Linked DNA regions of Cricetulus griseus. The protein of the gene in region 2 interacts with the protein of the main gene of each other region in a biochemical or structural test. Links are inferred from orthologs where the notes say so. Each region holds a gene or a part of one and is shown on either strand. Other genes may lie near its edges. The genes, in order: Rad51, Rad51ap1 and Dmc1.

The links.
Region 1: the proteins of Rad51ap1 (region 2) and Rad51 form a complex in vitro, tested with the Homo sapiens proteins (6 studies listed by BioGRID and IntAct). The link is inferred for Cricetulus griseus from reciprocal best matches to the Homo sapiens genes RAD51AP1 and RAD51.
Region 3: the proteins of Rad51ap1 (region 2) and Dmc1 form a complex in vitro, tested with the Homo sapiens proteins (2 studies listed by BioGRID and IntAct). The link is inferred for Cricetulus griseus from reciprocal best matches to the Homo sapiens genes RAD51AP1 and DMC1.

Annotation. Positions count from the first base shown.
Region 1 is NC_048599.1:59,354,176-59,357,778, forward strand, and holds the end of Rad51 (DNA repair protein RAD51 homolog 1), read right to left. Parts: intron 1,713-3,603; coding exon 1,583-1,712; intron 1,411-1,582; coding exon 1,289-1,410; intron 737-1,288; coding exon 613-736; downstream 1-612.
Region 2 is NC_048601.1:19,527,650-19,531,301, forward strand, and holds part of Rad51ap1 (RAD51-associated protein 1), read left to right. Parts: intron 1-2,318; coding exon 2,319-2,405; intron 2,406-2,763; coding exon 2,764-2,982; intron 2,983-3,652. UniProt on the Homo sapiens protein: Structure-specific DNA-binding protein involved in DNA repair by promoting RAD51-mediated homologous recombination.
Region 3 is NC_048595.1:376,761,002-376,764,653, forward strand, and holds part of Dmc1 (meiotic recombination protein DMC1/LIM15 homolog), read right to left. Parts: coding exon 3,632-3,652; intron 2,065-3,631; coding exon 1,918-2,064; intron 1-1,917. UniProt on the Homo sapiens protein: Participates in meiotic recombination, specifically in homologous strand assimilation, which is required for the resolution of meiotic double-strand breaks.

The DNA.
Region 1 (3,603 bases), on a different chromosome or scaffold from region 2:
AAATACTTGGCCTTTGCCTCTTTCTAGATCATGTTTTTAACCCAAATATCTGACTCCCCAGTTTTTATTAATACAAGAACAATTTAGATAAATGCTACAAGGTGCACTATATAGCTGATGCCTCATGCAAGACTCCTTAACCAAAACATTTTTTTTTATGTGAGAGTTCAGTCATATAATTTTACAGTTTGCATCTTACATATAGAGAAAAAGAATGTGGCAAACACCAATTCCCACTGTTAAACATCTCAGGCATTTTATTTTACCATTATTGAGAAGTGAGAGAAAACTTAGGTCTTTCCAGCTTTACTTCTCTTGAAACATAAGACTGATAGCTGTTATTTCATATCTCTCCTCCAAACACCAAAGAAATCAGACATTAATATACTCTATAAGAAATATACTCTATAAAAAATGAACATATCAGATCAGTTTGAATACTGACCTGTCTCCTGTTTCTGCCACCAGAAAGCTGATACAATAATTGTTTTTCCTGGAAGCCATGTTCCGGTAGTCACATCAGGAAGAGCCCTGAAGAAGCCCAGAGAGCAGTCCTCTTCATTAGGCTATTTAGCATTTAAAAGATTATCACAGAAAAAAGGCCCTGATGATTCAGTCCTTGGCATCTCCTACTCCATCTGCATTAATGGCAAACATGGCTTCAGCTTCAGGGAGACAGGGAGAGTCATAGACTTTGCAGATTCTGGTCTCCCCTCTTCCTTTCCTCAGGTACAGCCTGACCCAAAGACAGACCAAAACACCAAGTTATAAACATTGCTATTCCCATGACAGAACTAACTGTTACAGACATGTGTAACTTCCTAAAAGGATTTATAGGATTTTTTTTTTTAGAGGAATCCATTTCTGCCATGACTCCGTTATTGAAAAGCTTGAAGAAGCAAACATTATTATATAATTATATAATTAAGGAGGCATATCAAATATTCATGTATTTTCCTCGCAAGTGAGAGATTTTACTATATGCAGGTGCTTTGTGTCTGTATGTGGCTATGTGCAGGTGCCTGTCAGAGGCCAGAATTGTCGGATCTTCTGGAGCTGGAGTTACAGGAGGTTGTGAGCCACTTGTAGGTGCTGGGAACTGAACTCAGGTTCTTTATAAGCTCAGAACATGCTCATAATCACTGAGCCATCTCTCCATCTGCACAACAAATTTAGTGAGGCTTCCTAAGTGTCTATCCTGTAGCAACATTAAGAGGGCTGAAGTGGAAGTGTTTTACTTTATGTCTATCATCATAGTGTATGTGACACCCATCCCAGAGAGCCTCACCTGGTTGTTGATGCATGGGCAATGATGTTTCCTCCAATGGGTTTTTTGGGATCTGCAGTGAACATGGCTGCTCCATCCACTTGGGCTACTACCTGGTTGGTGATTACCACTGCTACACCAAACTGATAAGGGAAAGAATGTCAGTTTGGGACCACAGACATACCAAAACATTAATGCTCACAACAAAGCAATGGCTAACTAATGCTCATCTTTAATAATATAAGGTACTAATGTCCTCAGGAGGCTCCTACAATTTGTAGCCACTGAATTCTTGGTTTCTTTACTACAGCTTACCTCATCAGCAAGTCGCAGCAGCATCCTCAGAAATCTGGCCAAATGCATTTGCCTGGCTGAAAGCTCTCCTCGACCTGAGTAGTCTGTTCTGTAGAGGGCAGTAGCACTGTCTACAATAAGCAGTGCATATCTATAAGAAAAACAATTCTTTGTCAGAATCTTCTCCCTTCCCCACCACTCTAAAATTTGACATATATTGCACATTTTCCACTTTTTTTGACTCTAGGGTTTGTTACTTATGTAGCCCAGGCTGTTCTGAAATTTATGATCCTCCTGTCTCAGTCTCCCAAGTGCTAGGATAAAACATAAGAGCCACTGACACCGACTTCCTAGTTAAACACAAGCACATACTTTTTTTTCTTTCAAGACAGGGTTTCTCTGCCAGGTGGTGGTGGCGCACACCTTCAATCCCAGCACTAAGGAAGCACAGGCAGGTGGATCTCTGTGAGTTTGAGGCCAGCCTGGTCTACAGAGTGGTGAGTTCCAGGACAGCCTCCAAAGCTACACAAAGAAACCCTGTCTTGAAAAAACAAAAACAACAACAAAAAAGACCTGCCTCTGTCCCCTCTGAGTGCTGGGATTAAAGACGTGTGCCACTGCTACCTGGCAAACATTCACATTTATTTTATTAAAATGTCCTATCTGAGAAGCCCTTTTGTGGGTATCTTCTGTTTTGTTTTTGGCAGATGTCTCAGTGTTTCTATTGCTGTGAAGAGACACATGATCTTGGCAACTTTTACAAAGGAAACATTTAATTGAAATTGGCTTATAGTTTCAGAGGTTTAGTCCATTATCATCATGGTGTCACACAGGCAGACTTGGTGCTGGACAAAGAGCTGAAAGTCTTGATCCCCAGGCAGCAGGAAGTGAACTAAGACACATTTCCTCTAACAAGGCTATACCCACTCCAACAAAGCCACCCCTCCTAAAAGTGCCACCCCCGGAAGCTACATTTAAACTACCACAGCTGACTTGACCAAAAGTAACTCTGGGGTTTTTTGGTTTTCACAACACTTGAGACTAAAAAGGGCTTCATGTATTTAGAAAAAAAATGCCATACCTCCAGCCATAGCTTCATTTTTCACTGAAACCATAAACAACTGTGCCAGAATACAAACTGAAGAGCAGAGATGGCATGGTGGGTAAAGGACTTGTCTATAAGTGGGAGGACCTGAGTTTAAGCCCCCAGAGCCCATGTAAGCCAGTCAACGTAGCACGTGTTTGTAATCTCAGTGCATCTACAACAAGAAGGGAAGTGTTTCTAGAAGCCTGTGGACTTGTTGGCCAGGTATGCAAGGAGAGGATAATGAGGAGGTGCTGTCTCAAATGAGATAGTGAGAACTGATATTCAAAACTGCCCTCTAACCTGCACATATGAGCCAAGTCATATGCATGCCCACATCACATATGAGTGTGTACACACAAACACTTACACAGGTCCTTCACAAAATACACACAATTTTTTTTGTGGGGGGAGGAGCTTATTTCAAGACAGGGTTTCTCTATGTAACAGCCCTAGCTGTCTTGGAACTAGCTCTGTAAACCAGGCAGGCCTTGAACTTACAGAAGTATGCCTGCCTCTACCTCCAGAGTGCTGGGATTATAGGCAAACACCACCACTGAACCACCAGGCACACAAAAATATTTTTAGAAGAAAAGAACTTGGGGCTAGAGAATGACTCAGCAGTTAAGATCACTTTCTGCTCTTCCAGTGGACTCAAGTTTGTTTCCCAGCAACCATACTGGGAAGCTCACAATGGCCTGTAACCCTAGCTCCAGGGGGTCCTAGTCCTCTTCTGACCTTGTAAGTACTGCCACACATGAGGCATACATTCACAGAAACACACATATCAGTAAAAATAAATCTTAAAAACAAACAAACCAAAAAAAAATCACTACATTAAAAACAAACAAAGCTGGACAATACTGGTATACACCTTTAATCCCAGTACTTGGGGGGCAGAGACAGATGGATCTCTGAGCTCAAGGCCAGCCTGTTCTACAGAGTGGAGTTCCAGGAC
Region 2 (3,652 bases):
TCAGTTCTTTATTCAGCTCTGTTAGTGTCCCACACATACATTTCTTTGCTTGGCACATAAAGGAGCTTGGGACTTACTCTGTGACAGCAGGATGCTATGCAGTAAGAGTCCAATCTTGATCAAATGATCTGTACAGTCCTAACACTCCAATTCCTTAGCTTTTAAATCTAAATTTCTTTCTTTTTTTTTTTTTTAAGATTTATTTATTTATTACATATACAGTGTTCTGCCTACATGCCAGAAGAGGGCACCAGATTGAATTGTAGATGGCTTTGAGCCACCATGTGGTCGCTGGGAGTTGAACTCAGGACCCCTGGAAGAACAGCTAGTGCTTTTAACCTCTGAGCCATCTCTCCAGCCCTAAATCTAAATTTCTTGAATGTGACCTAATGATGATAATTTATGTGACCTATTAAGATTAGAAGCACCAACCTTCATAGAAAGTTCAGTAGACTTCAGGGTATGACTTCTAGATTTCTCTGTGATTTTTCACCTCTGAATTTTTTTTTTCTGTAACTGTGTAGCATATGATGATGTGGGTGAGTCTTTTAAAGTTATTTACTTCTTTAAAAATCAACCATTTTGATTGAGAAGACTATGAATCAGGAATCAGAAATTTCGAGAGTGTCATCGTATACTATATCTAAAATTAGGGGAACAGAACTCATCTCAAAAGACTGGAATGTATAGCAGGAATTTTTCTTAGAAGTAGCACTCATTGAGTAATGTTCTTCATCGCATAGGGACTTAATGTTATCAACATCATCATTTAAAGGTTCTCTAAATGCTTGAGACTGGTCTTGTTTTATGGTGTTAAATCTGAAATGCAGGATGCATGCACACTGTGTAAACTTTCTAACTCCTTATTGTTCTTTAGGTTGTAATGATTGGAAAGAGTTTGTATCAGTTTCTTCTCTGTTGCTGTAATAAAATACCATGACCAAGAGCAGTTTATAGAAGACAGTTTATTTTGGCTTGGGTTCCAGAGAGGTTAAGAGTTTCTAATGGCAGGGAGAGCATGGCAGCAGGTACAGGAGCAGAAAGATGGCTGATCCTATTCACACCCAGGGAGCTGAGAGAGTGACTTGGAAGGGGACTTAAGGCCTCCAGTGACTTCCTTCCTTCAGCAAGGCTCCACATCCCAAACAGTGCTGCCAGTGGGGCTCAAGTGTTCAAATATGTGAGCTTATGGGCACAGTTCTCATTCAAGCCACCACAGAGCTTAAATTGGCATGAGCATGATTTGTCCATACAGAAGTAATATTTATTGACTGTATTGGTCATAAAATAAGCAGTTCCCACTTGAATTTAATCTTCTGCAATAATCATATAAGACATTATCTTCTTATTATAGACAGGGAAATTAAATGTAGGGAAGATAAGCATGTTTTCATATGGAATCTGACTGTAAACCTGAATCTTATTTTAGAGCCCAAACTCTTGATATGTGCTAGCCCCTCCATGTAAAACCACTGGGCTGCTGTGAGTCTGGGATGGCTCATCCAGTCTGTGTGTTTGTATGTTCCAGTGTGTGTTTGTCTGTGAGTCTGGGGTGGCTCATCCAGTCTGTGTGTTTGTATGTTCCAGTGTGTGTTTGTCTGTGAGTCTGGGGTGGCTCATCCAGTCTGTGTGTTTGTATGTTCCAGTGTGTGTTTGTCTGTGAGTCTGGGGTGGCTCATCCAGTCTGTGTGTTTGTATGTTCCAGTGTGTGTTTGTCTGTGAGTCTGGGATGGCTCATCCAGTCTGTGTGTGTGTGTGTTTGTATGTTCCAGTGTGTGTTTGTCTGTGAGTCTGGGGTGGCTCATCCAGTCCGTGTGTTTCTATGTTCCAGTGTGTGTTTGTCTGTGAGTCTGGGATGGCTCATCCAGTCTGTGTGTGTGTGTTTGTATGTTCCAGTGTGTGTTTGTCTGTGAGTCTGGGGTGGCTCATCCAGTCCGTGTGTTTGTATGTTCCAGTGTGTGTGTGTCTGTGAGTCTGGGGTGGCTCATCCAGTCTGTGTGTGTGTATGCTCCAGTGTGTGTTTGTCTGTGAGTCTGGGATGGCTCATCCAGTCTGTGTGTGTGTGTTTGTATGTTCCAGTGTGTGTTTGTCTGTGAGTCTGGGATGGCTCATCCAGTCCGTGTGTGTGTGTGTGTGTGTGTGTGTGTGTGTGTGTGTGTGTGTGTGTGTGTGTGTGTGTGTGTGTGTGTGTGTGTGTGTGTTCCAGTCCGTGTGTGTGTATGCTCCAGTGTGTGTGTATGCAGTGGGCCATCCTCCTGCTCTTTAGACCCTGACTGACTGGGATGCATCTGAAGTTCCTTGCTTACTTCCTATGCTAGGCACTGACAGCCAAGGTGATAGGAAAACAGAAATATCGGATAAGTCTCCTCCTATCTCCAACTGCAGTGTAACCAGTGTTAATTCAGGTAAGTTTTGATGTTAATAACGGTTCATTCACAGTGCTATTTTTCTTACTTGTTTAAGTTCCTGTGCCTGTAGCTAGAACAAGGTCTTCCCATGTCCCAAGGTTCTCTATCCCCTGGCCTTTGTTTCTTTATGCTTTAGTCTTACTCTTTCTGACTGCACACCTCCTTTCTTCCCCACTGGACAGTCATGACCACTCAGGCCCTCCACTGCACAGCAGGTGACCACTCAAGGGCTGCATCTTCCCAGTACCATCTGGAAAATTCTTTGGCATGACTCTTTAGAGTCTCAGACTAACCCTTAAAACCAGAGTCTATTGCTGGGAGAGTGATAGACTTCATCCCAGCGTAACCTGTGTAGTGTGTTATTGGAAGCAGACGAAGACAACAGTCTACCCAGAGTTCTCACTGACGTTCCTGTCTCCAGAAGATTTGGACAAGATTGTGGAGGAGGAGGATGCCAGCAGTGTTGAAGGGGAGAAAAAAATAACATCTGAAGCTGAGGCTCCGCAGAGGAGGGTGCTCTCTGAAGACAGTGATGGCAGCAGTGCTAATGACACCGAGCCGGACAGTGCAACTGGTGAGCTACACCCCCCCCCTTCAAGCTCATTCTGTGGGGATTCAGTAAAAACTTTTTGGAGAGCAGGGTGTGTGCAAAGCACTGTGTTGAGCCTTTGACATCGGTAAACTCACAGAACAGTTAAGTTGAGCTCAGCCATAAAGAGAGAAACTGTGTAGGGTAACCTTTAACCTTCTCTGGACAGACAAGCAGCATTAGAAAAACCAAGGACAAAGTCACATTTCTGACTGAGGGAAAAGCATGAGCAGTGGGACAGACAAGCACATTCAGGGGGAACTCTTGGGAAGAGGCCGAAGAGACAGTCTGGTCCGCCACTAGCTGTGAAGCAACTCAACCTTTCTAACAGGTTCCAGCTTTTCTATAACTAGGAGAAACTTAGGAAGTATTTTGAGTTGAAAGTGGTATGAAACAATTTTATTATCAGTTGCTTGAAGACTTAGTAGAAATTAGGGCAAAGAGAAAATATGGTGACTTGGACAACATCGTAATGTTCAAAATCTAAAAGAAGAAGTCTGTACCAGTCAGATAGAACATTTTAGATTTTAACCTTCTGTCAGCTATTAACAGACCTGTTCATAAACACTCACTGAACAAATATTTGATGCCTATAATGTTTACTATATTCTAGTTGCTAGGCAGACAGTAATGAGCAAAACTGTTAAAGTTCTAA
Region 3 (3,652 bases), on a different chromosome or scaffold from region 2:
AGACTCTGGATGCAAAAAGGTGTTTTGTTTTCCTTGAATAATGAAATTTATGGTTGCTATGTAGGCAAGAAAACTTGAGTTAAAATCCCCAGCAGCTATGTAAAAAGCTTGGTATGGCTGTTTGTATTTGTAACCCAGCACTGGGACATGAAGAGAGGTGGCTCCCAGGAGCTCACTGGTCAGCCAGGCTAGCCAAAACTAAACCTCAGGTTCTGTTAAGAGACTTTGTCTCAAAAACAAGGCAGAAGGGCTGGAAAGATGGCCCAGCAGTTAAGAGAACTGGCTGCTCTTCCAGAGGACCTGAGCTCAATTCTCAGTACCCACATGACAGCTGACAACTGCCTGAAACTCTACCTCCAGGGGATCTGACACCATCATACAGACAAAATATCAACGTACATAAAATAAAAATAAATAAATAATAAAAAACAAGGTGGAGAGTAATAGAGGAAGACCCAGGATGCCTCTACATGCACAATAGGCACATGTATCCGAACACATGTATATACACCATACATGCACTTGAGATTTAGGGGTCAGACAGATAGTTCAGTTAGTAAACTTTTATTATGCAAGCACAAGGATCTAAATTCAGTCCCCAGAACTCATGTAAAGAAAACAGAAAGTAGTGCACTTGTAATCTAAGCATGAAGGAAGGAGACAGACAAGGTGGATTCTTGGAGCTCACTGGACAGTCAGCCTAGCCGACTTCATGAGTACTAGGACAGTGAGAAACCCTACCCCCCAAAAAAAGTAAATGGTGCCCAAGGGATTATATATGAGGTTTCCACACATGTGTACACATATGCATACATACCTGCACACACACACACACACACACACACACACACACACACACACACACACACACACACAAATAACGAGATTTAGCTTTTAAAGATAAGATGACTATGGGGGATGGTAAAATGACTCATTGGGTAAAAGAGCAAGGTTTGAACTTGACCTTGGTCAATCCCAAAACCCAACTAAAGGTCAAAGTTGAGAGTCAACTCCACAAAATTGTTCTCTGACTTCCACTTGTTGCCATTAAGTGCAAGTAGCCCCCACACACACCTGCCAACATACAGATAAATAGAAAGCCTTGGTCTTCTGTAGAGAGGGCTACTTGGTGACTACTTTTCTGTACATTCCTATTTCTACACTAAAAATAGGGTCCTCTGATGATCCCCATAACTCTACAGGAGAATTCAGGTCTAAGGCTATATGCCTTTTCCTGACAGCCTGACTACTTTCAGTCCATGGTGCCAATGAAAGGTATAGATTATGAACTCGGTTGCCTCATTCATGTAACACATTGAACACATTCATGGTTATATCTATTTCAGCTGCACACACATAGACCCAGCTGATGCTAATCTTTCTCCAATCCAGGGCTGTCTTACCTGGCCTATTCCAGGAAAGAGAAAATTCTTTTAACACTGAGCTTCTGAGCTGCTATAGGCATATATGAGAAAAAAGACCAAACTAAGGAGGGGACAGATAAAAACAAACACACGGCAGAGAAAAAGTTTTGGTAAAGTAATTACCTTCAATAGTATTCCAAGTATCTTTAAAAACAAAATAAAACCAGATTTTCTTTTTAGATTTTTAATTACTTTAACTCTAAGTGTTTAACTGTGTGTGTATTAGGGGTGATATTGTGGTGTCTATTTCTATCATGTGGGTTCTAGGAATGAATCTCAGGGCCAGTCTATGTTTCTATGCTTACCTTAGACTTCCAGAAACTAATTGCTGTGGCTTTGGGATTGAGGTAATAAGCAGGTAACACTGGGAGTATAATATATTGTGATCTACAGGAACTTAAGGTTCCTATTGTAGTTTCTAGTGTTTATGATATAGGCTACAAAGACAACTCTGCTAAACTAAAACAGCAAAAAAAAAATGAATTTGGCTTACAATAAGTTTGTTGGCTGCCTCTTTAATCTTGTCCACTTTGGCTTCTGAGAGCCCTTTGACGTTGCAGAGGGCTCTTCTTGTTGTCATTTGTATCCCTTTAATGGTACAGATTCCTACAGACTTCAGTTTCTTAATATCAGCCATATTCTGAAATAAAAGAATGGGCATAGCAGATTGATAAAATGCCAGCCTGAAAGTCTCCTGTACTATGTCATGAGCTTCGTGTCCATCTCCTTCCATCATGATGCTAATTTTACACAAGCAACCAGGTGGAACCCACCCACCACTTAGCCAAATGTTCTGGAAATATCAGAGTAGAACATACCCAGCAGGTTGCCAAATGTTCTGGCTGTGCCCTGATTTTCCCAAGAATGTTAGTGAGACCATGGCAGTGTAGCAAGAAGTTAAAAAGAAAAGTCTGTTGGTGGAAAAGCCAGCAAATTTGTCACACATTCACCCCCTCAGTTCAGCTCTTCCTTCTACAGAACTTCATTACCAATATGTTCTCTACATTTTTCAAAGTTTTTTTTCCTTCTGCTCCTGAAGAACACAAATAACTACATCATCAAAAGACTGGGATTTTCTCCTGCTTGTTTTCTAAAATCAATGGAAAGAGATTAATATGAAGACTTCAGAAGACAACTTCAGCAAACTTTTAACACCAATGATTGCTGTTGACATCCACAAATTTTGATAGTCTACATTTCTGCCACCATGATTTACCCTGGTCATTGGGACAAACAGGATTTTCTGTAAATAAAAGCATTGTCTACCTAATGTTAAATTTAGAGAGACAAGGGGTGGCGGTGGTTGTTTAGAGATGCTCCAAATGCCCCCAGCTGAACCATTGGTTTTTAAACACTGGGAATCCTCAACAGTGTCTAGAGACATCTTTGGTTGTCACAGGTAGAGTACTACTGGCATTAAATGCATGAGTAGAGGTCAGGTGTATGAATTCAGTTTGATGTGACTACAGAGATCTGTGAGTTGTAACTCCATGATTTCCCAGAGTAACACTAATTGGTTGTTCCTTTTTCCTGTATAATTTTCAAGCATACTATAAACAGACCAAACAACTAGAGAGGTGTGTGGGGTTTTATTATTACCAGGCACTGGAGTGTGTCTCTTTGGTATTAGCTTAAGATCAACCAGCCCATTCCAGCTTTGATGAAGTCACTTTTAGCCAATATATCCTTCTAACTCAACTTGTTGGGCTCTCCTTGGGCTTGTTGCCATCCAGGGCCACATTTCTGTTAGTAAGTTCCCCTTATTTATATTCTGTACAACTTTAGATTTGACTGCTTCTTTGTTTCAATCTCTGGCCCGTGGGGGGTCAGTTCTCATATACTGAGATTAAATTGTTCTGTAACACCAAGAATGCTGCTAAACAACTTAAGACAGACAGCTCCTCTTCACAATAAGGAATTATACTGGGACCGGGTGGTGGTTGCACACGCCTTTAGTCCCAGCACTCGGGAGGCAGAGGCAGGTGGATCTCTGTGAGTCCGAGACCAGCCTGGTCACAAGAGCTAGTTCCAGGACAGCCTCCAAAGCCACAGAGAAACCCTGTCTCAAAACAAAAAAAACAAAAAAAAAAAAAACAAAAAAAAAACAAAAAACAAACAAACATCAAAAAATAATTATATTGGGCTGGTAAGGACAAAGCTGAGAAAATGGAACAGACTGTTTAATATTGTACCGAAAAATTACTCACAATTCCATGTTTCTGTAACAG